Linked DNA regions of Mus musculus. The protein of the gene in region 5 purifies or fractionates together with the protein of the main gene of each other region. This does not show direct contact. Links are inferred from orthologs where the notes say so. Each region holds a gene or a part of one and is shown on either strand. Other genes may lie near its edges.

Region 1 (3,500 bases), on a different chromosome or scaffold from region 5:
CGAGGATGGACGTGGATATTCATCAGGTAGTAGACAATCTTACTCTGGATGTAGTCCTGAACTCTGTTGACCAGGAATCTCTGGCCTACATTTATCACCTTTATGAAAGAAAGATCCCTGGGGCAGGGGAGGAGGACATTTCATGGTAAGAAAATCTAAAAGTAAAGTAGGTGTGAGGTGGGGGGGGGGGGCGGCAAGGCTATCAGCACCTGCACTTAGGAGCCTAAGGTGGAGGGGGCTCCAGTCTGATGCTCTCAAGACAAACAAGTCTAGAGAGAATGATTTGAATACTGACTTGTACGACCTCATCAATTTGTCCTCTCTCCCTCATCACTGCCACGTTTATGGAACCAAATGCTAAGAGACAGTACATCTCCAAACCAAAATGAAATACAATTTCTTGAATCTCCAGTAAGAATGTACTATTTCTTCAGTGTCCAACCTGTGTCATGTAGCTTATCTAAGTGTGGAAAATAAAATTTCAGGCTTTTCTAAGTGACTTGAAGATTTTGCTAAATTCAAACTTTTGTGAGACATCTGGGGCCCCCATGACATGGTCAAAATCTAGACAGAACATGGCAACTCAGGGGGAGGAGAGGAGAAAACAAAGCACACACTCACTCTAAGGATGCCTGCTATACCCTCTGACACCTAGTCAACCTTTCTCAAAAACACCACTGCAAACTATCTGCTTTATAGCCATGGGGTTTTTCTTAAATTTAAATAAGAGCTCATTCAAAATAATGACCAAGGAAAAAAGACACAACAAGGTAACTCATTATGGATCTCCCATCAGAGATAAAACCCTTCAAACATACATACATACATATAAATATGAATATCCCTCTAGAATGCTTTCCTACACAGGACTTAGAGCAAACTAAAGATACCTCTTTATGTCATATCTGGGGCAGTGCCTTTCAGCCATTATTATGGAAATGTTTCTAAAAACGAGTATTTAGAAATCTAAATACAAGTATTCTGGGAAATCCATTTGAAGGAAATGCAAAGTTGTAAACATGAATGGGCTGACTGCAATAACTTAACACTGTGCTTGTCTACCATGTCTTATTAAATGTCCTACATGCTGCTCTCAATCATCAGCTTGGCTGGACTAAGTAAGCAATGCCTAGGAAATCAGGGGTGCACACCTCTGGGTATGTCTGTGATGGTGTTTCCACAGAAGACCAAATGAGGGAGGAACCCTCGCCCTGACTGTGGACAGCATCGTCTTATGGCCTAGAAGGTCGTGGACTGAATAGGAGAAAATGGAGCCAGGCATGGAGCCTCACATCTCTCAGTACTTAGGAGGCAGAGGCAGGACTACTCTGAGTTCAAGGTTATCCTAGGACACTGAGATCTTGAATCAGAAAATGGGGGAAGAGGAAAGAGAAAGCTGGGTGAGCACAACTTTCCTGCTACTTGAGCCTCTGAGGTATGAACAAGCAGCAGCCTGTGGGAGGAAGACAGGCCTGCTCCTGTGATTTCGCTGCCAAGGTTGCTGTACCTGCTGAGCACTGGGCCAAAACAAACTTCTCCTGAGTAACTTATGTCACGTGTTCTGTCACAATGGGGAGAAAACTACTGACTATAACATTGTTTCATCAAGATACAACTGTGTACCCAGTAATCCCAGCACTATGAAGTTGGGAGCAGGAGGACCAGGAGTTTAAGGTCATCCTCTGTTATACAGTGAGTCAAAGGCCAGCATTGATTCCTTGACACTGTCTCAAAAACACAAAGCAAAACACATTTCCTAAGGCAATGTTCCCACAGGTCTCCGTGCTTTCTTCCTTCAGCATAACATTTTACTATACCCCACACCAGGCAAGCCCTCACTGTTATGATGTCTCACACTGATCAGACATTTCCTCTTGAGTGAGGCAAACTTTAAAATTTATTAAAACTGATGACACATCTCCAAGGGATATCCTACAGCATTCTAGTTCCAATTTGCTAAATCTGGAGCAGCGGTTCTCAACTAGAGATGATTTGTGCCCCTAAGAGACTTTTGGTAGTGCCTGAAAACATTTCAGTCATCACAGCTTGGATCTTTTCCTGGCACCAAGTAGACAGAGGCCAGGGAGACTGCTAAACATATTATAATACACAGAGCAGCCCCTTCAACAAAGAATTCCATAGTTCAAAATCTCAGTAATACTTAGATGGAAAGCCTTGCTCCAGAGCAGTTGTTCTCAACCTTCCTAATGCTGCAACCCTTTAACACAGTTCCTCATGTTGTGGTGACTCCCAAGCATAAAATAATCTTCATTACTACTTCAATAACATTAATTTTGCTATTGTTATGAATCATAATATAAATATCTGACATGCAGAATATCTGATATGTGATTCCTGTGCAAGGATCATTCAACTCCCAAAGAGATCAGGACCCACACATTAAGAATTGCTGCTCTAGAAAATACAGCAACCGAACAGAAAAACTGATAAGAACATATGGTTAAGCATGATTAAGTAAAATACATGTCCCAAATAAATATTTGTGCTAGCTAGTTTTATGTCAACTTCACACAAACTTAAGTCATCTGAGAGGAGAATTAAAGAAAATTCTCAATTGATAAAAGTGCTTTGTAAGCGAGCTGTAGGGCATTTCCTTAATTAGTGATCAGTGGAGGAGGGTCTTGCCCGTTGTGGGTGATGTCACCCCTGGGCTGGTGCTCCTCGGTTCTATAAGAAAGCAGGCTGAGCAAGCCTTGGGGAGCAAGCCAGTAGACAGCACTTCTCTGTGGCTTCTGCATCAGCTCCTGCCTCCAGATTCCTGCCCTATTTGAGTTCCTGTCCTGACTTTCTACAAAGATAGACAACAATGTAGAAGTCCAAGCCAAATAAAATCTCTCCTCCCCAACTTGCTTTTGATCATGGTGTTTCATCACAGCAATAGTAATTGTAACTAAGACAATGTCACAATAAAAAACTCTGTTCTGTGAAATGATACAAATATCATAGGTTTAGATTACCAGAAGAAATTAGAGACCAAAAGAGAAAGACAATTTTCCTTTCACCTCAACCCTCAGATCATGGTGTTAAACCTTACTTATCATAGTTGTCTGGGTCAAGGGGCTGGTAAGTGACCTTGTAGCACTCAATTCTCTTCAGGAAGTCCTCCATCACATTCTCCCTATTCCTTTCGGGGTAGTCAGGGCTCGACACTTTTACCTCCTGAAATCACAGCAACATAAAGACCTGGTCAGAGTTATGTTCTTAAGAGCCATCCTACAAATAGCCTCTTCTAAAGAACAGAAAAAGAAGTCCTTAAAGCAGCTTGTCACCAGAGCACTGGCATTCCCCAGTCACTGAGCACTCTCATCCTGTCCTGTGACCCTGGCAACCAAGACAGGGAAGATGGTGGGGAGTCATGTGCTTTCCTTTGGCCAAAGGACAGAGGCAGCTATGAAGCTAATGCTGCTTCTGAGCCCAAATCCCTTTATACATTTGCCTGTGAACACAGAATGAGCTCTAATTTCCCCTCTATTGCTACT
Region 2 (4,211 bases), on a different chromosome or scaffold from region 5:
GAGAGGTCAGAGTGGCTTGAACTAAAGGACAACATGGCAGAGCCTGAAAATCAAACAGGTTTGAGAGCTACTTTGCTGGAAAGATAGCCAGTACTTTGTGGTCAACTGTTTCTGAGAGCTGATGGACAGAAGAGAGTGCAGAGTAAGCAAGACACTTTGTTTGGATAGATGCGTTCGGAAAAGGCAAGGAAGAGTTTGCAAGTCTGGATGGCACAGACAAAGTTCCGGAGAAATGGGAGATGCTGCCATTGTAGACGAAGATGTGCCAGGCACGCCTGAGGTGCCTGTCCATCATAGCTTTCCTGATAACAGTAGTATCCCCATCTTAAAGGCAGTGAATTTAGATCACAAAGCTAGAGAAACGGGGACCATTCTTGGCTCCCTGGATGCTGACAAGTCTGGCTAGCTGCTAGGAGGCATCCCTCCCAAGTCTATAGAACACTAGGAACTACTTCTACATTAGGATATTTAGGACTGAAACAAAGTAACAGCCAAGAAGAGCCAGTAGTTGATACATTGCTCTTTAATTCAAATCCTGTATTTATAATTTCTAATGTTTCCTATCCACACCTCAACCCTATTCCACCTCCACCTAGAATGAACTTGGCCAAGTTTTGAACACTTGCAAATTTTTCTGGGACTTCAACATTTTATAAATGGACAAAGCCGGACTGCCAAAATTAACTCCAACAAAAAGAGCAATGATACCCTGCAGTAAACAATAGTTTTACTCCCAAATTCTATGAAACAACAGAAAGTCCAATAAGAAACAGGAAACCTTTTCTTAAGAAATTAACCATTTCTCAGAAAGCAAGGCACTCAGGTCAAGCACTAACATATGCCACCAAATACAAAGGCTATAAAAGTGAGCACGGAGGATTAGGATTTTAAAAGTCATAAGCTTTAAAACTCTAAAGACAAAAATGCAAAGAAAAGCAACACAACAACCCTGTATGATGCTAAATCTACAATTTCCAAACAGCTCTAAAAAAAAAAAAAATGCAGAATTCAGGTAGTGTGACCCCAGGAATGGCATGGGCACCTTCGGAACTGAGTCTCTCCAGGACACTGACACTAACTGAAAACCTTTCCTATCTGCACAGTCAGCCCCGTGACTTGGCTCCCTCTAGGGGCTCTCTGCTGTCCCCCAAAGCTCCTGTAGCCCAGAAACAGGGCTTGATGGCAAAGATCTCAGTCCATTATGGCCAATTGAGCCCGGTACGGAAAGTACCATCTTGAGACTCTTCAAGGGAGGGGTGACTGATTGGGAGGATTTTTAGAAAAGATTTAATTACCTACACTGCAAATTACACTGTGTTGAATCTGATCCTCCAGTAGAAGAATCATCAAAGCGTGTCCAGTCTTCTTAAATGGAGTATTGGCCGTGTGTACTTTTGAGGTTTAGGGGTAGCTCCCCATGGAAATATATACGATCACAAGAACCATTAACATGACCACTAGAGGATAAAGCACAAACCACTTCCCAAACTGCTAGCGCAGTTGTCCGGAGCCCTGATTCCTGGGTTTATCAGCACCCCACCCCCACCCCCACCCTGCAGTGGGCTGACATTCCCGATTGCCTCCAGCAAAGAACAGGTTTTTGGGTTTAAAAAACAAAACAGGAAAGGTGCCGGTTTTCTGTGCCTCCAAGGTACGATCACAACCCCTGGCAACCACAGATTAAAGACTTTTAAAGAAGAAAGAAAAACTACCTACACCCCCACACACATACACATACACACACACACACACACACACATACACATCCCAAAACTGGGCAGAAACGCAGAGATCACCACATATTTAATATACTTCCCTGGGACAAAACGTGTCTCATGAAAAATGGCTGAGCACCAATCTACAGTTAGGTATCTAAGTGTTCGTCCCTGCTGTCAGCGGGTTGGAGGGATTTTTTTTTTTTTTCTCCTTAACGCAAGGCTTTGATGTGTTGGCAGAGCTGACCTGACAAGCTGGAGTAGGCTAGGAAACGTGTCCTGCATATTTCCTTCTGTGCCTCCAAAGATTAGGACCAGAACTGACTGCGATTAAACCCTACCTAGGATCCAAGGGCTTGAGCCCTTGATGCTGTTCGATGCTGGGAAAGTAGTGGTTCCGCAACCCCGGGCAGCTCGGCGATGCTGAAATGAGCAACCCAGCCCCTAGCTGGTCTCCGCCGCCCACCACCGGGCCGCAGCGGCCTCGCACGCCAAGCCCCCGACCCTTAAAGTTGAGCCTCCTATGATTGCCCTCTGCAAGTTTCCAGGGTGCAGGACGCAGCCAACTTTGCAAGCCGCCTCTGGGCGACTCGCTTCCCCGGAGGGGCTGGCCACCGGGGAGGCAGGGCGGCTACGGTTCAGACAAAATGCAGAAGCCTTCCAACCGCCACTTTTCCTTTTCCAGAGGGGAAGCTCTCCCTCCAGGCGAGCATCCGATTTCCATCTGGAGAGGGAGAGGGCCGACCGCGCATTCCCCTCGCCCACAAAAGTGGCCTCTAAAGTCGCTCGCCAAGGACACCGGGAAGGAGGCGACCCCGGGCAGGGCCAACTTTCGGGAGGCGAGGTGAGGGCGCGAGGGTGACAGCGGCGCCGCGGGGGGCGCGGGCCGGGAAAGTTGTACTTACTGCGCTCGCAGCCCGTCCTCGTAGTCCCGGTGCACGGCCCTCGGCGGAGGCCCGGCCCGCCCAGGCTGAGGCGGCGGCTGAGACGGCCGCGGCCGGCGGCGGCGGAGGGCGAGCGGCGGGCCGGGGCTGAGGAGGCCGGGCCGCAGGGCGGCGCGCGGAGGGCTGAGCCGGCAGAGAGACGCGCGGGGAGGGCGCACGCCGGCCTGGCCCGGCAGGGAGGGCGGTGCGCAGCGGCGCAGAGGAGGAAGGGCGGAGGAAGGAGGGCGGGACCGATAGGGCCGCGGAGCCCCGCACAGGGGCGGGATGAGGGCCGCCGCGAGAGCGAGCCAGCCGGGGAGGCCGCGCCGGGGCAGGGAGGACGAGGTCTGGGAAGTGTGGTGGGGGGCCGAGGAGGCGGGGCGGAGGGCCTGGGCGGGTGGGGCGGAGGCCGAGGAGGCGGGGCCAAGGGCCAGGGAGGGAGGGGCGGAGGGCCAAAGAGGCAGGGCGAACGGCCCGGGAGGGCGGAGCGGAGGCCTAGGAGGCGGAGCCAAGGGCCAGGGAGGGAGGGGCGGAGGGCCGAGGAGGCGGGGCCGAGGGCCGTGATTGCAGGTGGGCAAGGGAGAGCAGGGTGCAGAGCTGGAGAGAGCTGGATGCAGGGCTGAGAGGGGGGCGGGCCGAGGGCCAGGGAGGAGGGCCAAGAGCCAGAGGCTCCGCCCCTTTTCTGGTCGCGGCGCTGGAGAGAGGAGCAGTGTTATACCCCTCACCAGCTCGGGTTACAGCGGCGGCCCCGCCTGCAGACAAGGTTCGGGACAGCGCGGTGCGGCTTTGTGGGAGGCGCTGAGGCCGGTGGGCCGGAGCCTGGCTGAGGTTAAACATTTCCTCCAGTCGCTCGCAGGCTTGGGGTCGCCAGGCCAGTGAGACCTTGCAGCTGACCGCTCTGCGTCTGCTGACAGGAAAGAAGGGAGAAACGGCCCAGCCTTTCCAAGGACTGGTTTGAATGGCTTTTCCTGTAGAATAACTGTGAATTGATGTCCACCGCAGCAACCAGTGATGACCGTTGCAAGTGAGGAGAGATTAAAAAAAAAAAAAAATGAAGTGAATGAATCGAATGTAACAAAGGTTTTAAAAGAGTTGGGATCACTGGAAAGAGGATTGTCACAAGTTCGAGGTCAGTATATGTTACCCTAGCAACAAGCAGTATCAGACCTCAAAGAGTGAATCATATATTATTACACACACACACACACACAGAGAGAGAGAGAGAGAGAGAGAGAGAGAGAGAGAGAGAGAGAGAGGCAGGAATTTTGCCAGAAATTCAAGAACAGCCTGGGCTACATTCTTTGGTTCCAGGGCATCCTGGGCTACAGAATGGGACTGTCAAAAAAGAGAAAGAAGTCTAAGTCGAGCATTCTCCAAGGCATAGTTTGGATTGCTTTTCCTGAGTAGCTGTGATTCAGCAACAGCACCCCCACCTCCCTGAGCAGCAGGCCATGATAGAGGCAACAGACAACGAGGGGAAAAAAGGCAAATGAATCAGAGGTGAGTAACAAAAGTTTAGAAAGAACTGGGCTCAGATTCAAAAAATGCACCCACACACCTTTAAAAATAGCTT
Region 3 (3,500 bases), on a different chromosome or scaffold from region 5:
AGGTCCTCTGCAGAGCAGCAAGTGCTCCTAAGTGCTGGGCCATCACTCCAGCCTCCGTGACTTTTTTTAAATTAGGGAATGTCTTGTTTTCCCTTTTCATCGTTTTCTTTCATCGTGTCAGCAGTCAGCACCATAGCCCTCTTATTTGCAGATCTTAGGATGGAAAGTGGGAGGAGAGCAGAGGTGTGCATCTGAGAAGGGAACATGTCCCTGGGGATTCCCAGCTAATGATGTTTTACTATAGAGCAGGGATTCTAAATATGATTATTTGAGGACATGGGGATTTAAGCGGAGAGAATTGGTCACACATGCCTTTAATCACAGTACTCTGGAGGCAGAGGCACTTGGTGTCACAGAGATCAGAGATTGGAGGCCAGCCTGGTCTACATATTATATTCCAGGCCAATAAAGGCTATACACAAGAAGACCCTGCTTTAAATACATATATTGTAAGCCTGGTGGTGGTGGCTCACATCTTTAAGGCAGAGGCAGATAGATCTCTGAATTGGAGGCCAGCCTGGTATACAGAGTGAGTTCAAGAATAGCCAGGGCTACACAAAGAAACCGTGTCTCAAAATAAAAAATAAAAATAAAACAAAACATATATATTATAGATATGAGTGTGTGTTTGTATATATGCAGAAACAGGAGTGTGTGTGGAGGTCACAGGCCGACTTCTCCAGAGTTGTTTCTCTGCTTCCACTGTGGGTTCCAGGGATCCAAGTCAGGATCTCAGTCTTACATGGCAAACATGTTTACTCACTGAGCTAACCTAGACTTGGAGATTTGTTTTAAGCGTTTTTCCCCTTTCTCTTTCTTTCTTAGCTTTTTCTTGAAACCAAGCACGTCTGGTGACAGTTTACAAAGCGGCAGCATTCCATCAGCCAGTGAGCCCTCTGAACACAAACCCACGTCCAGTTCAGCAGAACCTGACCTGATCAGCTTTATGGATTTCTCAAAACACAGTGAGACCATAACAGAAGAAGCAAGTTATACAGTCGAATCAAGGTATTGAAGAGTTCGTAGAGTTCACTGTAAGAAGAGAAATGCAGTATTCCTGTGAACATTCTGCATCTAAAGACATGGGGATGTCATGCTTGGGCTTGGTGGTACATGCCTGAATGAGGAAGATTATAAATTCAAGTCCAGTCTGTCCCATCCCTGCCCCTTGCCAGTGTAAATAGTATTCTATCTGTTTCTAGTTAGATCGTAGCCTGGTATAAATCAAAAGCCTCCCAGCAAATCTGTATTTACTTACATGGACAAGTACTTCTTAGAGATTGTGTTTAATAAAGATTAAGTTATGGTTCAATAAAACAGCTAAATAGACAGTTTTGTTAATATCATGTCCTTGTATACCCGTCACCATCTGACCAGGGTTAGGAGAATGCTTGGGGAATGTTTAATGCTTCCATGGGGAGAGATGGTTAGAGATTGAGCAGGCCTCAGGAGACAAGTGCCCCACCACTGAGCCCCACCTCCAGCTTCACATTTAAGGCTTTTATTTATAGATATAAAATTGTTCCGTGCTATCAGAAGTACATGCTTTGTTTTTGTTTTAACAATTTTACTTATTTTATGTATGTAAGTACACCAGAAGAGGGCATTGGATCCCATCACAGATGGTTGTGAGCCACCATGTGGTTGCTAGGAATTGAACTCAGGACCTCTGGAAGAGCTCCTGCTGAGCCATCTCTCTAGCCCCACACTTAATCTTTTACAGATGCCAGTCCTTCTCGGGGGATTCAGACCATTTAAATCCACTGTAGAAAATACTGTACCTCTCTAGAATTTTTCATGATTAGCATTGCTTCATTTTTTTTCAGTGATGAAATAAAGAAAACCAATGGTGATGTCCAGAGTGTGAAAATGTCATCTGTGCCTAACAGTTTATCTAAGCGAAACGTATCTTTGACTCGAAGTCACAGTGTTGGAGGCCCTCTGCAGAATATCGACTTCTCCCAGCGACCATTTCATGGCGTCTCAACAGTCAGTCTTCCAAGCAGTCTGCAGGAAGATGTGGTATGTACTGTTAGAGCCACACCATATACTTGTGTAATATATAGCTTGGAACATCCCACAATTCCATGGTATCATGTGAAAAGTACAAATTTTTTTGGTGGCACTTAAGGCGGAGACAGGAGGATTAAATTCATCTTTGTGAATTTTAAGCCTGGTAGAACTGCATGGCAAGATCCTGTGTGCTGGGAAGATGACTCAACCATTAAAATGCTGCTGCATAAGCGTGACCACTCAGGAGCTCAGATCTCCTGCACCAGTGTTGAAGCCGTGTGGGATGGCCCGGGCCAATAATCCAAACACTGTGGGCATGGAGACAGGAAGGTTACTGGACTTGCTAGTCAGTCAGCCAGGCTGAATTGTTGAGCTCCAGGTTCACTGAGAGACTTTGTCTCACAAAATAAGGTAGAGACTGTTGAGGGAGACAGTGTCATGTGCTGCACATACTCAGACACATAGGAACATAGGAAACTGCCAGGTGTGATTGTGTGTGCCTGTCCCAAAAGTCTATAAAGAAACAGAAGGGTTTTCAAACAGAAACTGTACCTGTGTGCATGCGTTTTGGCTTTTGAGACATGATCTTGTTGTGTAGCTCTGACTGTTGTGGAACTTTGTATGTAGATGAGACTAACTTCAAGTGTGTGGGGGCCTCATGCCTCTGCCTCCCAAGTGCCGGCTTACAAGCATGAGCCACCACACCCAGCTTAAACCTTAGCATTGAAATTTTCAAAAATGGACAAGGTCTCACAATATAGGCTAGACTGGCCTCAAATTCACAGATATTCTCCTGCCTCTGCCATCCAAATAGTATGTACTTATGTACCCAGCTTATTAAGTCTCTTGACCCAACAGCTACCTTTAGTAATTTTTAGTTTATGGCCATTTTTTGGTTATTGTTTTATGAAAATCCTTATTAACTTTTCTATACCTAAATTATTTTAAAAGCAATTTCAAGCAATGTCTATCCTACATATAAATATTTCAGCAGGTATCTGTAAATGATGACTTTAACAAATATAATCACAATATTATACCCTAAACTAGGGAATCATTAGGATATTCAGTCTTTGTTCAGAGTTTTAATCATGAAAGTTGTGTCAGAAGTATTTCTGGGGCACGATGTGGTCTTAGACATCAAGGTTAAAGTAAAGTCAGCCTTGCTTGGTTGGGGCACTTAGTCTTTAAATTACAGGCACCATTTTTTCTCCCAGTTAGATATGAGAGGTTTCCACAGTCCTGATTTGGTTGATTGCAACCTTACAAATTGGCATTTGAATCTAGAAACATAGTTAGCTTCAGGGTTTGTTTGTTTGTTTTAATTTTATTCTAAATTTAACTTTTTAAAATTTTAAATTTAATTCTAAAATTAACTTTTAGAAAAACTTGGATATAAAAAATATTAGATGCCAAAAATTGCCAGATCCAAAGTCTATATATCTTTTATGCATCTGAAATAGCTACTTTGAGGTTGTGAGCCTTCG
Region 4 (4,169 bases), on a different chromosome or scaffold from region 5:
GCTAGTCAGCATGTGGGCTCTCACAGAAAATGGTCTCCCAGGATCAGGAAAGTATCCAGTTGGTACCCTTGCCTCCTGGGCACTCTGGTCCTTTTCTCCAGGAGATTGAATGGCGTGAGTTCTGAAAGTCCCCTGGGTACTTGTGAGGCCTGTTCTGGCAGCAAAGTAGGTCCACTTGGCTTCAGACACATTTTTGGCACAGACACATTTTTGGGTTGATTAGCACGAAAAGTGTGTGACATCCTGGCTGAGAGGCCTGTCACAGGCACAGTCATGGCACTGTTTTTTTTTTTTTTTTCTTTTGCTTTTCGAGACAGGGTTTCTCTGTATAGCCCTGGCTGTCCTGGAACTCACTCTGTAGACCAGGCTGGCCTCGAACTCAGAGATCCACCTGCCTCTGCCTTCTGAGTGCTGGGATTAAAGGCGTGGGCCACCACGCCCGGCAGGTGATAACTTTTGTCATGGATCTAGCTATCCGGTACAGTCTGCTTAGAAGCCAAGAGACCAAACTTTGGAACCAGGCAGACCCTGACTGAGTTGAGTCTTCTGGTTTCCACCATGTGACCTTCTGGAGTGTCTGTTCTCACATGAAGAATCTGGGTCATGATATAACTTTCCTCACAGGATTAGGTGCACGCACCCTCTGGGTACCAAGGCACATGGAGCACTTCTCAGAGAACCATCCTGGGACAGTCAGCTCTTCAAGTGCAAGGATGGGGACCAGACTTTTAGTTATGTGACATTATTTCATAAGTTTATTTTTCCCTTGTCATTGGAACTTGGGTGAGTTTTTATTAGATTTGTTGTAGTTGGGGTCCTTGTTTCCCACCAACTTAGTGCCAGTAGTCCACTGCTGTGACCATTGCTTAGTTAAAATCTTGTTGGTAACCTCGAGCTAGCGTTTAGGAAAACAAAAACTCACCGTGAAATGGATTCAAACATTACCTGTGGCACCAAAAACAGGGGAAATTCTTGTAAAAATGAGGTCAGGAAGGACCGCCATTCCAGCCCACAATGAACACGCACCATAGAGACATTTCCCTAAGCTTAAACTCACAACTCCAGGTCTAAATGGGTGGTTGGACCCGCGTCCGGTATTCGGTATTCCTGTGGGTTCCAGCCCTGACTGTTCACATTCCTCAGATACCCACTTTAGGTTTAATCACAGTCGCTCCCCGAGACCAGTCCTGGTAACTTGAGAGGAATTTGCATTTCCACCGACCTTCCCGGACACGCGGCAGGGGCAGGGGCTACGCCAGCGCAGCTACGCAGCTGGGGAGGGCGTGGAGCCTTCCCTTGGCCTGGAAGGGGTTAAGGGACGGCTGGGGCGGGGCGCTGGGCCCTTTGTTACCGGCCTAGGCGGGAGGCGGGAGGCGGGACGCGGGCCTGGGCGCGGGCCTGCTGGGAGCGCGGCCTGGCGGGGCTGGGGGCCCGGGGTGGTGGGGCCTTCGCCGTGGCCACGGGACCATGTTGGAGATCTGTTTGAAGTTGGTGGGCTGCAAATCCAAGAAGGGGCTCTCTTCGTCCTCCAGCTGCTACCTGGAAGGTAAATCCTGGCCTGGGCGCGGGGCCCACCAGGACTGTCCTGCCCGCCCGTGCCCTGTGTGTTCTAGGTCCCCAGTCTTCTCCCTCTGAGGCCTCTGCGGGTGCTGGTGGCTCATTCGGACTTCCAGAAAGAGAGAGAGAGCCGCGGCTTTGGCGCTGGCGGGGCCCAAGCGCATAGTGTGGCTCCTGCCCAGAAAGTTTGAAAAAGTCAGTGCCACAGGCCTTAAGGTCCTTGTGAGCCCACGTTGTGGTGTTTCCACTGCCAACTGGGAATTGTATGTCACAAAGGTGGACCTACACCAAGTGCCGCGTACAAAGGGATCCCGCTCTACCATTTATGGGTACAGAATTTCATGTGAACTTTCCACCCCCACCCCCACCTTTCTGCAGACCATGAAGAGGTCTTGGGGATTGTCTCTTTTTAGAAGAGAAAGAATGGTTTTGCTTGTATTTCCAGGAGTTTTGAGAGCTTCCAGTTTGATGCTTGGTGAGGGAGCCCCTCATGTTTTGTTCTTTGCATAAACTTAGAGCCAGGAGCCTGTTGCTTTTGCCTGCTTTACCCTGCTCCTCCAATTCCATGCCTCCTTCCTGTTGTCTTTAGTGTTTGGGTCTAAAAGGATGGCAAGGGAAAAGGGTGAGTGGTGAGTGCTGGGGACTCGGCTGTGGCCAGGCCTGTTAGAGTATAGCTGACCTTTGTGGGGACTGCTGCCTTCTTCAGAAGGGCAGAAGCACTCACAGATGTGTGGTGCCCTGGCTTTTCTGGCTGTTTCATGTAAGAGTTAAGATAGGAGTAAAAATGTAAAGTTTTCTTCAGAGCAATTTGGATTTCTACTGTTTTGAATTGTAAAGAATTGAAGGCTTTTCAATATCTAACCTGCTTCCCCGACCCCCCTTCCAAGTCTTTGACTCAAAGACCTACAGGGCCCCACATGACCCAGCTCAGACTTAGGTGCCCAGCTCGGGTAGAGGATGTTCTCCCTTTGCTAGAAGGGAGTATAAGGGACTTCGCTATAAGTCACAGTAAGATTTCAGCCCCTCCGGGGATTTCAGGGCCTGGATTCCTGAGAGGAGCTTGGTGTGGATGGCATGAGCTCAGGGCCTACCACTTAGAGGGAGGGAGATGGTTTATTTGTCCCCAGAGTTGGCATCTGAGCGGCCAGAATCATCCTCAGTTAATGCGTTGCTTATTTTTTCCAAGTTGCTCCACACTCTCCGCACATTTCTCCTCCCCATCTGTATCCAGTTAGTGAGAGGCACTATCTCCATTTTGAGCCGCTGGAGGCGGAGATGAATGGACTTTTGTAACTGCAGAGTTGGGGCATGTCACAGCTTTGCTAAGGTATCAGCTTGTTCCTGGGGTAATGTGGGATTTAGTGCAGAGCTGTTGGTTTAATTCTTGTTTTAGAAGGGGGAAAAAATCCATTCTTATTCCAGCATAATCCTTAAGGTGAATTCTAGCATTGCCAAGTTCCAAAGGAGTGCTGTCCTCACTTGGGTTTTGTAGGCCTTCTCCAGGAAGGTGTCTCTCTAGGAGCTCTTTCTGTTCACTGAGTTCAAAAAGGTAGACGGAATTCTTGTTGTGTAGCTGACGGAATCAAGCTAGCCTCGGTGTAATTATGTCTTGAAGACGGAAGTGCTGTCTGTCTCTGGGGAAGAGAGCTGTTGCCAGAATCTGGGGAAGTAATCTGGGCCTTCATTTCTTGCTTACATCCTAAATCAATCAATCAGTTCATGACACCCACCCAGAGGCCTGGGCCTCACAGGCCAGGAAGAGAATTGAGTATGGTGAATTTTCCATTATTACCAAATGCATGCTCCCTGCTGCTGTGCAGAGAAGGCCTGGTCAGCACAGACAGCAGCAGCAGTTAGATGGCCTTAGTGGGCCAAGCATTGTCTGCATTCCACATGCCCTCACTTTCTGACTTCTTATGGTGGCCCTGATTATCTCATCTTGTAGATAAGAAACTGAGGCACCAAAAAAGGTTAGGTGACATCTCTGAGATGACAGAATCAGCAGGTGGTAGTCCCAGGATTTGAACTTGTGCTATCTGGCTCCAGGGAATTGCACAGAGAGAGAGAAAGGGGGAGAGGGGGTGGAGAGAGAGAGAGAGAGGGAGGGAGGGAGAGAGAGAGAGAGAGAGAGAGAGAGAGAGAGAGAGAGAGAGAGAGAATGAATGTTGGGTATTGGAAGCCAGGGCCTTGAACTACACCCATAGGCCCTTGCCAACTTTTGAATTTTGAGACGGACTTGCCAAGTTGTCCAGTCAGGCTGTGAACTCAATAATCTGTAAACGTAAAGAGACAGGCTTTGCACTTGGCATTTTCTTGCCTCAGCCTGCTGAGCACCTAGGATTTCAGGCTTGCACCCCAGCACCTGGCCCAGAAAGCCCATTCTTAGCCTGTCTGTGCTAATAATGGATCATTGGTCTGCCGTGGCATTGTTCTCCCGTGGAAAACACTATGGATCATTCAATACTGTCTTTAGAAATGCCCAGCTAGGGCCTAAACTGTACCAGTCTTTTCCTTTCTGCATCAGGTAATAGTAATACACCTGCTTTCATAAAGCAACAGGACCAGGAACATTTTTTAAGCAAACATAAAAATACTTGTAAGAAAATTCTGAA
Region 5 (3,500 bases):
ATGAATAAGGTGTGGATGTGTGTGTGCACATGTGTGCATGGAGATGTCAGACAACTTTGTGGAGTCAGTTCTCGGCTTTTACCATGGCTTCTAGAGATCAGGTTGCCAGACATCTGGCAGTGCTCTTACCCAAGGAGCTATCTTGCCAGTCCTCATCCCAATGGTAGTTACTATCTAATAGGTTTAAGTGAGTACAGGAGCTTTTTTTGAAAAGCATCTAAGTTCCCTTTTCAAGTAGATACATTATTATTTACCATTAATCATAGAAAACCATAACCAGTCAAAATTCTATTTAAATTTAATTCTATTTAAAGTCATATTAATGTTCTGTCTCTGCTTTGGATTTTTGTTTTGTCTTTTTGAGACAGCGCTTCTTTGCATAGCCAGCCTTGGATCTCCTGGAATTTTGGTCACATCTGCTGCAAAGATTTTATGAAATGTTAGACATGTTTAGTGAAGAATTTTATGTTAATAGATGAGTGGGAGTCCTTGAATGACCATGTTGGTCCAGAATTGGATCAGGCAGCTTTTGTGCAAAGCTTTGAGGAACCCTGGTTAGGGTTATGCTTCCATTGGTGATATTAAGAGAATAATGATGACTTACACGGAGGGCTTCAATAACGCACTGTAGACATTCAGAGGAAGATTAGGCCTTGGATTCATGATGCTGCTTGCTGTCCCTTAGTCTGTTGCATAAAGGAATAGAAAATTTTAAAGATGAAGGGCCTGAATTTATTGGGATTTTAAAAATAAGTGACTCATACTGGTCATTGAAGAATTAGGTGGCTCCATCAAATATCTGATTACAGTTTATCCCACCAGAGGGCAGTCAGAACAATTAAAAAGCAACTAGAAAGAAGATGGAATGGAAATGCAGACCAAAATCACAGCGGGGAGCTGAGCTGGGCATAGCTTAAAGGTTAAGTGCTTATCTAGCTTAACTGACCTGGGCCCAATCATTTCAGCAGCTGTAAAGAGGTAGACTTTGAAACATAAAACTCAGGTTGCTAATTTGGAAAGCACACTAATTTTTATGAGACAGCTTCTAACTAGCATTTCTAGTTGCAGGGGTTACAATTGCAGCATGAACTATTTTATTTGGCTTAATATAGCTTAATTCACTGTGTGATAGCTGTTCACTAATGTATACTTTCAGGGTATTTCTGTATGTCTCTGCTTGTTAAAGTATAGATTCTTGCTTCTTAACACTAGGGATTCTGAATCAGTAAATCTAAAGATCTAGTTGGTAATAGACCTTTGCAAAACCACTTTTTACCTCTTATCGTAGGTACTCAGTATATTTACTACGTTTTCAGTTTTTCCATTGTTATTCATAAACTGTTATTACTCTTTTTTTTTTTTTTTGCTACACTTAGAATATCTCAGATTATTGGGCCTCTTTTCTTTGCTTGCCATCTAGTGGTAACAAATAATAGTTGCTCAAATTTATACCAGCAGAGGAATTCAGAATGGGTCGTTTCACCCCCTCCCCCCAATATAGGCAGTCCTCAAACTTAGAGAAATCCTGTTTGAGCGCTTGGTGCTAAGGTTATAGGCAAGAGCCACTGTTCCATAGCTTATTTAATTTAGACTAGGTTCCCTGGCATCTCATTGATGGCTTTGCCTTCTGAGATTGCAGGCGTGCATATGCACTCTTCCCCTCCCCATTGCTTGACTTGACTCATTTGATGATTATAAAGTTATTTTTAATTGGAAAGGATATGTGCTCCAGATTAAACCCAGGGCTTTTGTGTTCTGGCTGGGCCAGACAGGATCTTCCTCTGTAGCTTTGGTTGGTCCCATACTTTTGTAGCTCATAGTGGATTTTGAACTTAAGGCAATCTTCCTGCATCAGCCTCCCACCTCTGGATTTCTAGCCCCCTAATTATCTCTTGTTTTCTATTAGCTTTGCAGGGGGAAAAAGATAACCATGAAAGGGATGGGTCAACAAAACTTGTTAAATCTATAGTCTCCTTTTACCATTTCCTGCATAGAAATGGTGGAATCAATGAAGAAAGTAGCAGGGATGGACGTGGAGCTGACAGTTGAAGAACGAAACCTTTTATCTGTTGCATATAAAAATGTGATTGGAGCCAGAAGAGCATCCTGGAGAATAATCAGCAGCATTGAACAGAAGGAAGAAAACAAGGGAGGAGAGGACAAATTAAAGATGATTCGGGAGTACCGGCAAATGGTGAGATTGTTAACTGTTTTGATACGGTACCGTGTTTTGTTTTGTTGAGTATATATGGGCATTTTGTCTTACCTATCTCTGTATCATGTGTGTGCCTGGTACCCTTGAAAGCCAGAAGAAGGTGTCAGATCTCTAGTACTGGAAATAGATTACTTCTCAAATATAGGTGGCATTGAGTTAATTTGCAGTTTTAGTACCATTAATTTCTGTATCTCTGTTAAAAGTGATTAACTTACATAGAGAACAGGTTTATTTTGCTCATAGGATTGAAGTAATATTGAATCTCTTATTGGGCATTTTGGATGGCAGTGGCAGGGTACATACATGTCTGATAGCAAAACTGCTTTTATGTTGAGCCAGGATAGAAGACATCCAGGATAGAAGACATCCAAGCCAAAGTAGTGTCCAGAAACAGTAACATTTGTGACAGAAGTAACAGGGTGTCTTTTACCTGAATTGTTGCCTTTTATGTTCATATTTAATACCTGGTGGAGAAAGGAGACTTGTTTCTTGTGAGTATCTGGCAAAATCGCAGGCCTATAGCTTTATAATTTTAGGTCACCACTTAATACAAACTACATAAGTATATATGTAAATGTATCTTGCATTTTTAGCTTTTATTTAATCTTGATTAGAAATTACAGTCTAGAGAGTATTTTGGGATATAAGCAAAGAACTGCTTGTTTTAGAAGTTGCACAGGGGGAAGATATCCCACAGGGAGGTGCAGTACTCAGGATTAGGCTTGGGGTGTACACTGCCACTGAGCTGTGTTCAACTCAGCTGAGTTTTGAACAACACATAAAGAACAAATGGAACTGTTGCTTTTTCTTTGGCTATTGTAAAGTACTTCATTGTCTACTTGAGTGAACACATAGGACAACTTCAGTTTTTACATTTATTTGTGTATGTGCCCCGGGGGGGAGGGGGGGTTGCTATTGTGCACATGTGGAGATGAGGACAACTGTGGGAGTTGGTCTTTCTATATTATGTGTGGCTCAGAGCTTGAACTGAAGCCTTGGCTATAAACACCCTACCCACTGAGCCATCTTCCCAATTTGTGTGCCTCTGTGTAATAAATAATGGGGTATAAATACTAATGAAACTGAATTACTGTCTTTATGGAGACTCACTCTGTTTTTTTGTTTTTTAATAATGACGATTATTGGGACTTTTAACTTTCTCTAAAGAAAGAATTTCTGAAGTTATTTCAGATGGGCTGTAAGTGTATGTATATTCAAAAATGGGGGCCTACTTACTAGTGCAGGGTAGAACTTTTGCCCAGCATGAATAAGGCTTTGGGCTTAA
Region 6 (3,500 bases), on a different chromosome or scaffold from region 5:
CAGTCCAGTGTCTGAGCCCACGTGTGGATAGTAAGGGTGTCACGGGTTTTCTGTAGCTGGTTTTCCTCAGGAGGTTGAACCCAGTGTCTCCCTCCCTGACTCAGAGCCCCAGCCTACAGTATGCTGGTTGCTGTTTTCCCCCTAACCGTGGTAACTTCTGATATAGTCTTGAGCACTGAAGACAAAGCATCTATCTATGCTCATATGTGTAACTGTTAAGTGTGACGAATAAGTTGTTCCATGAGTTTTTCAGGACAGCTTTCCTCTGCTGAGAGCTTGATCCAGCTGACAGATGGAAATTTTAATTGTAAAGTTAATTAAAATGATCTCATCCGCCAGCAGCCTGCTATTGCTCCATTTTCCCCCAAATCAGTTTTTAATGATTTCAGAGTAACATTATCACTCAGCTAAGGCCTTAGCCCTAGAGTGTCTTCTGAAGAAGACAGAACAAAAGCCGTCCTTAAGAGGAAATACAGAACTCCAGGACATGAGAATTGAGGACTCAAACCTCACTTGCTCATGGGTTACTGCACCAGGTCCTTGGCCATTCAGTCCCGACCTCCCATTTACATGGAAAGCAGTTCATTCTTTGATTCCCTTTGCAGATACTTAGGGGTATCAGGGGCTTAAAACTCAACCAAGTTTTTGCCATATTTCAGGATTCTTCATTCGACCATTCTACAAGATGATGCTGGGGAAGCAGATAACGCTGAACGACATGGAGTCCGTGGTGAGTAAAAGCAGTGCGTCCTGTAGCCGTCACAGGCTGCCTCACCCTGTGCACGGTGTCAGGAGCTGTGTTTGCAGTCACAGCTGTTGTCATAGGTACAGTCCTGCGGAACATAGGTACTTCACATGAACAAGAGGGAGGAATCGCTTGCTTGAAATTTAATTGATCTCCTGATTTCTATAATAAGCAAATTATGGTTGGTTTCTGAAAAAACATGGTACTTAAGGTCGGTACGCCTAAGTCTCAATTCCCACTTAACGAACTGAGACTTGATGAGCAGATTAAACCTGAGGGGCACCTGAAGCCCGCCGTAGCCTTGCTCCCCATCTACAGTGTGACAAGATTCCACCTTCTGTTTTATGCCTTCATAGAAGTGGTGGAGGCAAGGCCAAAACAATAGTCATCTAGACATGGTCGTCTCGACACAGGAATTAGTGACAGCTGCAGAATGGGAGCGTGGGATGAGTGTTAGACAGGCTGGCCCTCACAGGGCCCCGTGCTTGCTGCTTACCTGGACTGACTGTCCTTGGCCAGGAAAGATCTACGAAACAAAACATGTCCTTCTTTTCAGAGGACACTTGAATGTCTGGCTTTCTCTATTTATGTATACTCTGTAGTGTATGTGTGTGAGTCTGTGTGAGTGTGTATGTGTATATGTGTGTGTATATGTATGTATGTACATGTGTGCGTGTATGTATGTGTGTATGTTTGTGTGTGTATGTGTGTTTGTGTGTATATGCATGTGTGTACGTGTGTGTATGTTTGTGTGTGCATGTGTGTGTATGTGTGAGTCTGTGTGAGTGTGTATGTGTATATGTGTGTGTATATGTATGTATGTGTATGTGTGCGTGTATGTATGTGTGTATGTTTGTGTATGTATATGTGTATGTTTGTGTGTGCATGTGTGTGTATGTGTGTATAAGTGTGTATCTGTGCGTGTATATGTGTGTGTATGTGTGTTTGTATGTGTATGTGCTCCTGTACATATACATAAGTGTACACACGCACACTGGCCTGTGTGTACTAGCTACATTTTTGTTCTTGTAGAAGAATTACAGCTCTGTTTTCATGTGGTCACTTGAGTTAGAAAGCTGTGCATCCCTTGGCCCCGCTGGCATATGGACCGTGTGTGTCTTGGGCAGAGCTGTGAATGTAAGCGATGCCCATGATGCCAGCTAGAGCTCACTGTGTTTCTGCTCGGTGCTGCGGGAGGCGAGAGACGACTATTGCACTCTGGACCTCTGTGACCTCTGCAGACTGGCTGGCGTCTGTAATCTCAGCTCAGTCTCAGTTTCCCTTCGAGCCTCCCCTTTGTCAATGCTTTCTGCTTCTGCTGTGCCATTCTGAGGAGTCTAAGAGCACAGAAATTGCTTCTGTGCGCTCCCAACCCTCAGTGAAGGAAGGGGGTCAAGAGAGGATTATCACTGTGTATGGGGTCTAGCTTGGCTTAGAACACACAGTCCTCCGGCCTCTACTCAAGTGTTGGGACTCTAGGTGTTCAACACTATGCTGCTGGAAATTGTTCTTAACGCCCAAGTCTGTGGTTCCTATCGGCCACTAGTGTTTGGGGGAGCTTGTTATTATTTTGTTATTTTAATTACTATGTATTAGGGGAGTGGCACATGCCAATGAGCACCGGTGCCCATAGAGACCAGGGGCATCAGAGTTTCCCTGGAGCTGGTGTTACAGGTGCTTGTGAGCTACCCAGGGTGGGTGCCAAGGATCAACCTTGGATCCCCCAAAGAGCAGCGCACATTCTTAACTGCTGAGCCATCTCTGCTCTCCCAGCAGAGCATTTGTGTTTTAAATGTGATGTGCATATAATTTTCGGTCTCCTTTGAGCCTGTCATATTCCTAGCAATGGAGACTTTGGGCATGAGCAGAAGGGACCTGATAGCCTCATGGCTACTCTCTTCTAAAACACAGCTCTGCTTTTTACTTAAATTAATGGGCAAAGAACACTGAAGAAACAGGAAAGGACAGAGCACAAAAATGTATGGTGTTTAGTTAGAACACTGTCCTACGTGGTCTCTGATAGTAGACTCTGAGAAGACAGGAAGTCGGTGTGTTAAATTCTGTGTGGACCTGAGACAGGCATGCTGTGGCCACAAACAACGCGTAGCCAGGCTATAATCCCAGCTCCTGGATGCTGGGTCAGGAAGAGGAGTTGGAGACCACTGTGGGGTTCCCAAACAAGACCCCTTAACTCTCCAGCTGCTCTAACTCCCCTCCCAAGCAGGTGGCCTTCACAGTAGAGATCAGGGGAAGTCACTTTCCACAGATCTTGTGTTTTACATTAGTGGGAAGATGGGGCTCGAGAGATGACTCAGTGGTTAAGAGTGCATGCTGCTCTTGTAGAAGGCCTAGGAATTAGGTTCCTAGCGTGGCCAACAACCAGCCACCTATAACACCAGCTCCTGAGGCTCTCACCTGAACACATGGGCACACATACACACACACACACAAGTACACAGACACAAAATAAAATCTAAGTAAGTAAGCGGGAAGTGGTTTTGTTAGAGCAGACTCCCTGAGTAGCATCGCCCTTGGACATTGGGCATAGAATTACATTAGAATGAATTTATTCATAAAGGAGCCAGACAGATTTTAAAATTCTCACGTTCCTTTCTATGTCATTCCGATAGGACAGCGAGTACTACAACTCTTTGAAGTGGATCTTAGAAAACGACCCCACGGAACTTGACCTCATGTTCTGCATAGACGAAGAGAACTTTGGGCAGGTATGTGGGTTCGTCCAGCTCCTGTGGCT
Region 7 (3,500 bases), about 7.9 Mb from region 5:
TTTTGGGATAAATTAATGGGTGGATGTTAAGATGTGATGGAAACCCTTAGGGATATTGAAAGTACTTGACCCATTGAAGATGAACTAAGGATGGGGAGAAGAGGCCCTAAGGCTCCTGCCAGCAGCACGGTGTGACCTCAATTTGGAGATCACATCACTGGCCCAAGGAACAGAAGTGACTTGAGAATCAAGGTGTCTGTACGCAGACGGGAACAGAGGAGGCATCTCTTGGAGCAGCCGCCCTATGGTTGGTTGGAGGCTGTATGCCTCAGCAGACCAAGGACCCACCACAGAGGGGTCCTGTAGGGCCTGAGAAGGTGACTGTCTTTTGCAGGGTGTCTCCAACCTCTAAGAAGATGCAGCTTAAGACTGTACACCTTGGGCTGGAGAAAGAGGTGGCTCCGTGGTTAAGAATGTTTGTTCTTGCCAAGGACCTGGGTTCAGTTCGCAGCAATGACGTGGCTGCTCACACCTATCTGTAACTCCAGTTCCAAGGGACTGACACCCTTCTCTGACCTATGCAGGCAGGCACCAGACTCTCACACAGTACACATATATGTAGAGACAGACACACATAGAATAAAAATAAATAAATGTTTTTAAAAAAAAAAAAAAAAACAAAAAAGACTAGCTCCTTTGTGGCTCTCAGGCTCCCTGGATCCCAGTCTCCTTCCACGCTCCCAGATGACCCATCTCCCAGAGGAAAGGCTGGAGAAGAGGCGGGCTGCTTGGTAGTGAGCAATGCCCGTAAGGGTACCTGCTGCTTTTTCTCTCTGCTTATACCATTTACTTCTCAGTTTATCTAAGGTTCTCCGTCCCCACTCCCTCAGATCCTGTTACGGGGCGATAAATAGATGAAAAGAAATAAAGGGTGCTTTTTGTCCAAAAAGAGGCAAGCTGAAGGGGTCCTTTGGGTGTGTGTCCTGTGGGTTGCTGTCAGCCCTGGCCCAGGGCCCTTCCACACCAGGAAGAAGGGAAAAGTAGTTATTTACGGCAGCAACCAGGTCCTCTCGCTCCCTGCCAGGGCTCCAGGCCACTCCACCTGGTGAAGGGCGAGAAGCCACAGCTTTGTCCTCCTGATGCAAAGCTTCCCTCTCTGCCCTTCTCAGGGCGGTGGACGAGGAACAAGAAAACTTCACACACACCCCAGCCTCCAGAGCTGTGTTTTATCTTTCCCCAGGTGTGGGGATTGAATGGCGGAGCCACAAGGTCAATGCAAACTGAAATGACAAAGTATTTTGGGTGGAATTAGGTCTATTCCTAGCCAGTCTAAAGAAAAGCTCTAAAGAAAAAGATATCAAAAATGGCATGTGAAACCCCCGACAGGCGAGAGCCCCATGAATCCTCTCTGCCATCTGCCTGAGGCTGGTTCCGTACTTTTCCCCTCCCCCTGGGGGCTGCTTTCTCAGCTGCTGGGCAGACTAAGTGTCCTTGTGCACTTAGATTCTTATCCCAGCATTCGCTGTGACTTTTGCTCTCCTTGACCTCACACCTGTGTGCCTGAGAATCTCAGGACATCCCCACATGGGTGTTTTGTGGCCAAAGTCCTTGACTATCTTTAAAGTCAGTGTCTGTCATAGACCTCTGGGACTGTTGTAACAGAAATACGCTGGGGTCTTACCAGTGACAGAAGTTTATTCCTCATGGCTCTGCAGGATGGAATCGGGGGGTAGTTAGGTTGGGTTATGGTGAGTCCTCTTCTTTGATGCAGTCAGAACTCTGGTTCTTCCTACCTCTTCTGATAAGGACACTGTTTTAAAGCTATGACCTTGGGGTTAGAGTTTCGACTTAAGGACTGGGAGGGATGTAAGCTTCGGCCGATGATAACACTCTAAACTCCATGAGCAGCCTATGGTCAGCAGCCAGCTGTGGTCGCCAGCACCGTGCTTATGTACTTGACCGACTAGCACGCAGCCTACATGGAGTAGGGGCAGCGCATGTCAGGCGCCAAGCAGTCCCGGCAGTGTGGCGATGGTAACACCACTTGGGAAGGGCACTGGATGCTGATCACCGTATGTTCTTTTTAGAAGGGCCGAGCTGTAGAAAAGAATTAGGAAAGTAAGTAATGAAGTAGCAACACTCTCAGCCCCTCCCCATTTCATCACTTTGAGAATCCGTTTCTCTAACCTGCTGTGTATGTCCGTCTTCACATGCATGCATAGTACATTGTGTGTGTCTGTGTCTGTGTGCATGCGTGTGCGTGTCTGCAAGTTGAATCACAGTGCCTTGTAGGATTCTAACCTACTCACTTAAGACTATATACCAAAACCACTTTCCCAGCTATTTACAGGCAATTGCAAACTACAATAAGACACAAAGGCAGCACTGGTAAATTGGATAAAATGAAGCCTACAGTTACTTTGTTTTCTTTTGGGCTCAGTATGGGATATGTGACAGACATCCTTTCATTTTAAAGTAGAAGTACCCAGTTTTGACCCAATTTAAGAGACATTTGGTAAACATTCTGTCCTTAGACATAGTTAAAGATAGATGATAATAATGTTAGACCTCAGGGCAGCTGACTCAGTGAACCCCTCGGTGGTCTGGCTGTAGGGCACGTGGATGTAGTCAGCCCTCAGCATCATTTTCTTATCTGCTGATTCAGTCAACTGCAGGCAGGTTCAGGAGGTGGCGGGGACAACGTCTGGGGAGGGTGAAGAATATCTACTAAAAATGCACAGATATTTTTTCTTGTGATTACTTCCTAAGGGACATAGCATGACAATTGTTTACATAGCATTTGCTTTGTGTCAGTATCATAAATAATCTAGAAATCCCGTAAAGTCCATGGAAGACTACGCATGCTATTGTATTAGAGGGGACTTGCACACCCACAGAAGATCCTAGGAGCAATCCCCTATGGATGTCAAAAAAGGCTGTCTTCTTGGCCTGTGGCTTCCCCTGTAGGTTTTTAATGTGTACATGAATTCTATGAGATCATGGATGAAACTGTTGGTGGCCCTGAAAGGCAGGACCCCTGTGTATCTCGCTTGTGCTATGGTCACTGTACCCAGACCTGATTATGTATCTGCCCAGATACACCATTGCTTGAAGGCTGGCAGGGCATATATCCCTTAGCAGGTGCTCATGGTCTTCATGTCTTTTTCAGGAGGAGTTGAGACCAGACCTTTGGTTCGGGGTGTTGGTGGCCGAAGTATCAGCATGAAGGCATCTCCTGCTTCCCGATCCAGGCATGGGCCCTTCAAGACCATGCCCCTGAGGTGGTCATTTGGACACAGGGAGAAACGTCCCGGGGCATCCGTTGAACTGGTGGAATACCTAGAGTCCAGAAGAAGACCCCGTTCTACCAGCCAGTCCATTGTGCCGCTCTTGACTCGTGCTGCTGGTGGGGAAGAGACTTCAGCGTCACCGAGGTCAGATGGCACCCTTCCTGCTAAAAGTGAAGACAGCGGTCGAGCCATTGGGCAAGGAACAACTGGGGTGCCCCTTTCCTCATGCCACCTCAACCACCATCCAGCCCTGGGGTCTTTAGATGACAG

Evidence for each region.
Region 1: the proteins of Ywhae (region 5) and Pfkfb2 purify together in Homo sapiens (affinity purification with mass spectrometry; 3 studies listed by BioGRID and IntAct, with this or other methods). This does not show direct contact. The link is inferred for Mus musculus from reciprocal best matches to the Homo sapiens genes YWHAE and PFKFB2.
Region 2: the proteins of Ywhae (region 5) and Rassf8 purify together in Homo sapiens (affinity purification with mass spectrometry; 3 studies listed by BioGRID and IntAct, with this or other methods). This does not show direct contact. The link is inferred for Mus musculus from reciprocal best matches to the Homo sapiens genes YWHAE and RASSF8.
Region 3: the proteins of Ywhae (region 5) and Dennd4c purify together in Homo sapiens (affinity purification with mass spectrometry; 3 studies listed by BioGRID and IntAct, with this or other methods). This does not show direct contact. The link is inferred for Mus musculus from reciprocal best matches to the Homo sapiens genes YWHAE and DENND4C.
Region 4: the proteins of Ywhae (region 5) and Abl1 purify together in Homo sapiens (affinity purification with mass spectrometry; 4 studies listed by BioGRID and IntAct, with this or other methods). This does not show direct contact. The link is inferred for Mus musculus from reciprocal best matches to the Homo sapiens genes YWHAE and ABL1.
Region 6: the proteins of Ywhae (region 5) and Nedd4l purify together in Homo sapiens (affinity purification with mass spectrometry; 3 studies listed by BioGRID and IntAct, with this or other methods). This does not show direct contact. The link is inferred for Mus musculus from reciprocal best matches to the Homo sapiens genes YWHAE and NEDD4L.
Region 7: the proteins of Ywhae (region 5) and Usp43 purify together in Homo sapiens (affinity purification with mass spectrometry; 3 studies listed by BioGRID and IntAct, with this or other methods). This does not show direct contact. The link is inferred for Mus musculus from reciprocal best matches to the Homo sapiens genes YWHAE and USP43.

Annotation. Positions count from the first base shown.
Region 1 is NC_000067.6:130,702,322-130,705,821, forward strand, and holds part of Pfkfb2 (6-phosphofructo-2-kinase/fructose-2,6-bisphosphatase 2), read right to left. Parts: intron 3,181-3,500; coding exon 3,056-3,180; intron 118-3,055; coding exon 1-117. UniProt on the Homo sapiens protein: Synthesis and degradation of fructose 2,6-bisphosphate.
Region 2 is NC_000072.6:145,745,376-145,749,586, reverse strand, and holds the start of Rassf8 (ras association domain-containing protein 8), read right to left. Parts: upstream 2,801-4,211; 5' UTR 2,621-2,800; intron 2,560-2,620; exon of another isoform or gene 1,213-2,559; intron 1-1,212.
Region 3 is NC_000070.6:86,835,555-86,839,054, forward strand, and holds part of Dennd4c (DENN domain-containing protein 4C), read left to right. Parts: intron 1-825; coding exon 826-1,008; intron 1,009-1,826; coding exon 1,827-2,022; intron 2,023-3,500. UniProt on the Homo sapiens protein: Guanine nucleotide exchange factor (GEF) activating RAB10. Promotes the exchange of GDP to GTP, converting inactive GDP-bound RAB10 into its active GTP-bound form.
Region 4 is NC_000068.7:31,758,570-31,762,738, forward strand, and holds the start of Abl1 (tyrosine-protein kinase ABL1), read left to right. Parts: upstream 1-1,369; 5' UTR 1,370-1,467; coding exon 1,468-1,546; intron 1,547-1,603; exon of another isoform or gene 1,604-1,822; coding exon of another isoform or gene 1,823-1,886; intron 1,887-4,169. UniProt on the Homo sapiens protein: Non-receptor tyrosine-protein kinase that plays a role in many key processes linked to cell growth and survival such as cytoskeleton remodeling in response to extracellular stimuli, cell motility and adhesion, receptor endocytosis, autophagy, DNA damage response and apoptosis.
Region 5 is NC_000077.6:75,749,887-75,753,386, forward strand, and holds part of Ywhae (14-3-3 protein epsilon), read left to right. Parts: intron 1-1,994; coding exon 1,995-2,194; intron 2,195-3,500. UniProt on the Homo sapiens protein: Adapter protein implicated in the regulation of a large spectrum of both general and specialized signaling pathways. Binds to a large number of partners, usually by recognition of a phosphoserine or phosphothreonine motif.
Region 6 is NC_000084.6:65,195,256-65,198,755, forward strand, and holds part of Nedd4l (E3 ubiquitin-protein ligase NEDD4-like), read left to right. Parts: intron 1-659; coding exon 660-730; intron 731-3,375; coding exon 3,376-3,471; intron 3,472-3,500. UniProt on the Homo sapiens protein: E3 ubiquitin-protein ligase that mediates the polyubiquitination of lysine and cysteine residues on target proteins and is thereby implicated in the regulation of various signaling pathways including autophagy, innate immunity or DNA repair.
Region 7 is NC_000077.6:67,856,154-67,859,653, reverse strand, and holds part of Usp43 (ubiquitin carboxyl-terminal hydrolase 43), read left to right. Parts: intron 1-3,109; coding exon 3,110-3,500. UniProt on the Homo sapiens protein: May recognize and hydrolyze the peptide bond at the C-terminal Gly of ubiquitin. Involved in the processing of poly-ubiquitin precursors as well as that of ubiquitinated proteins.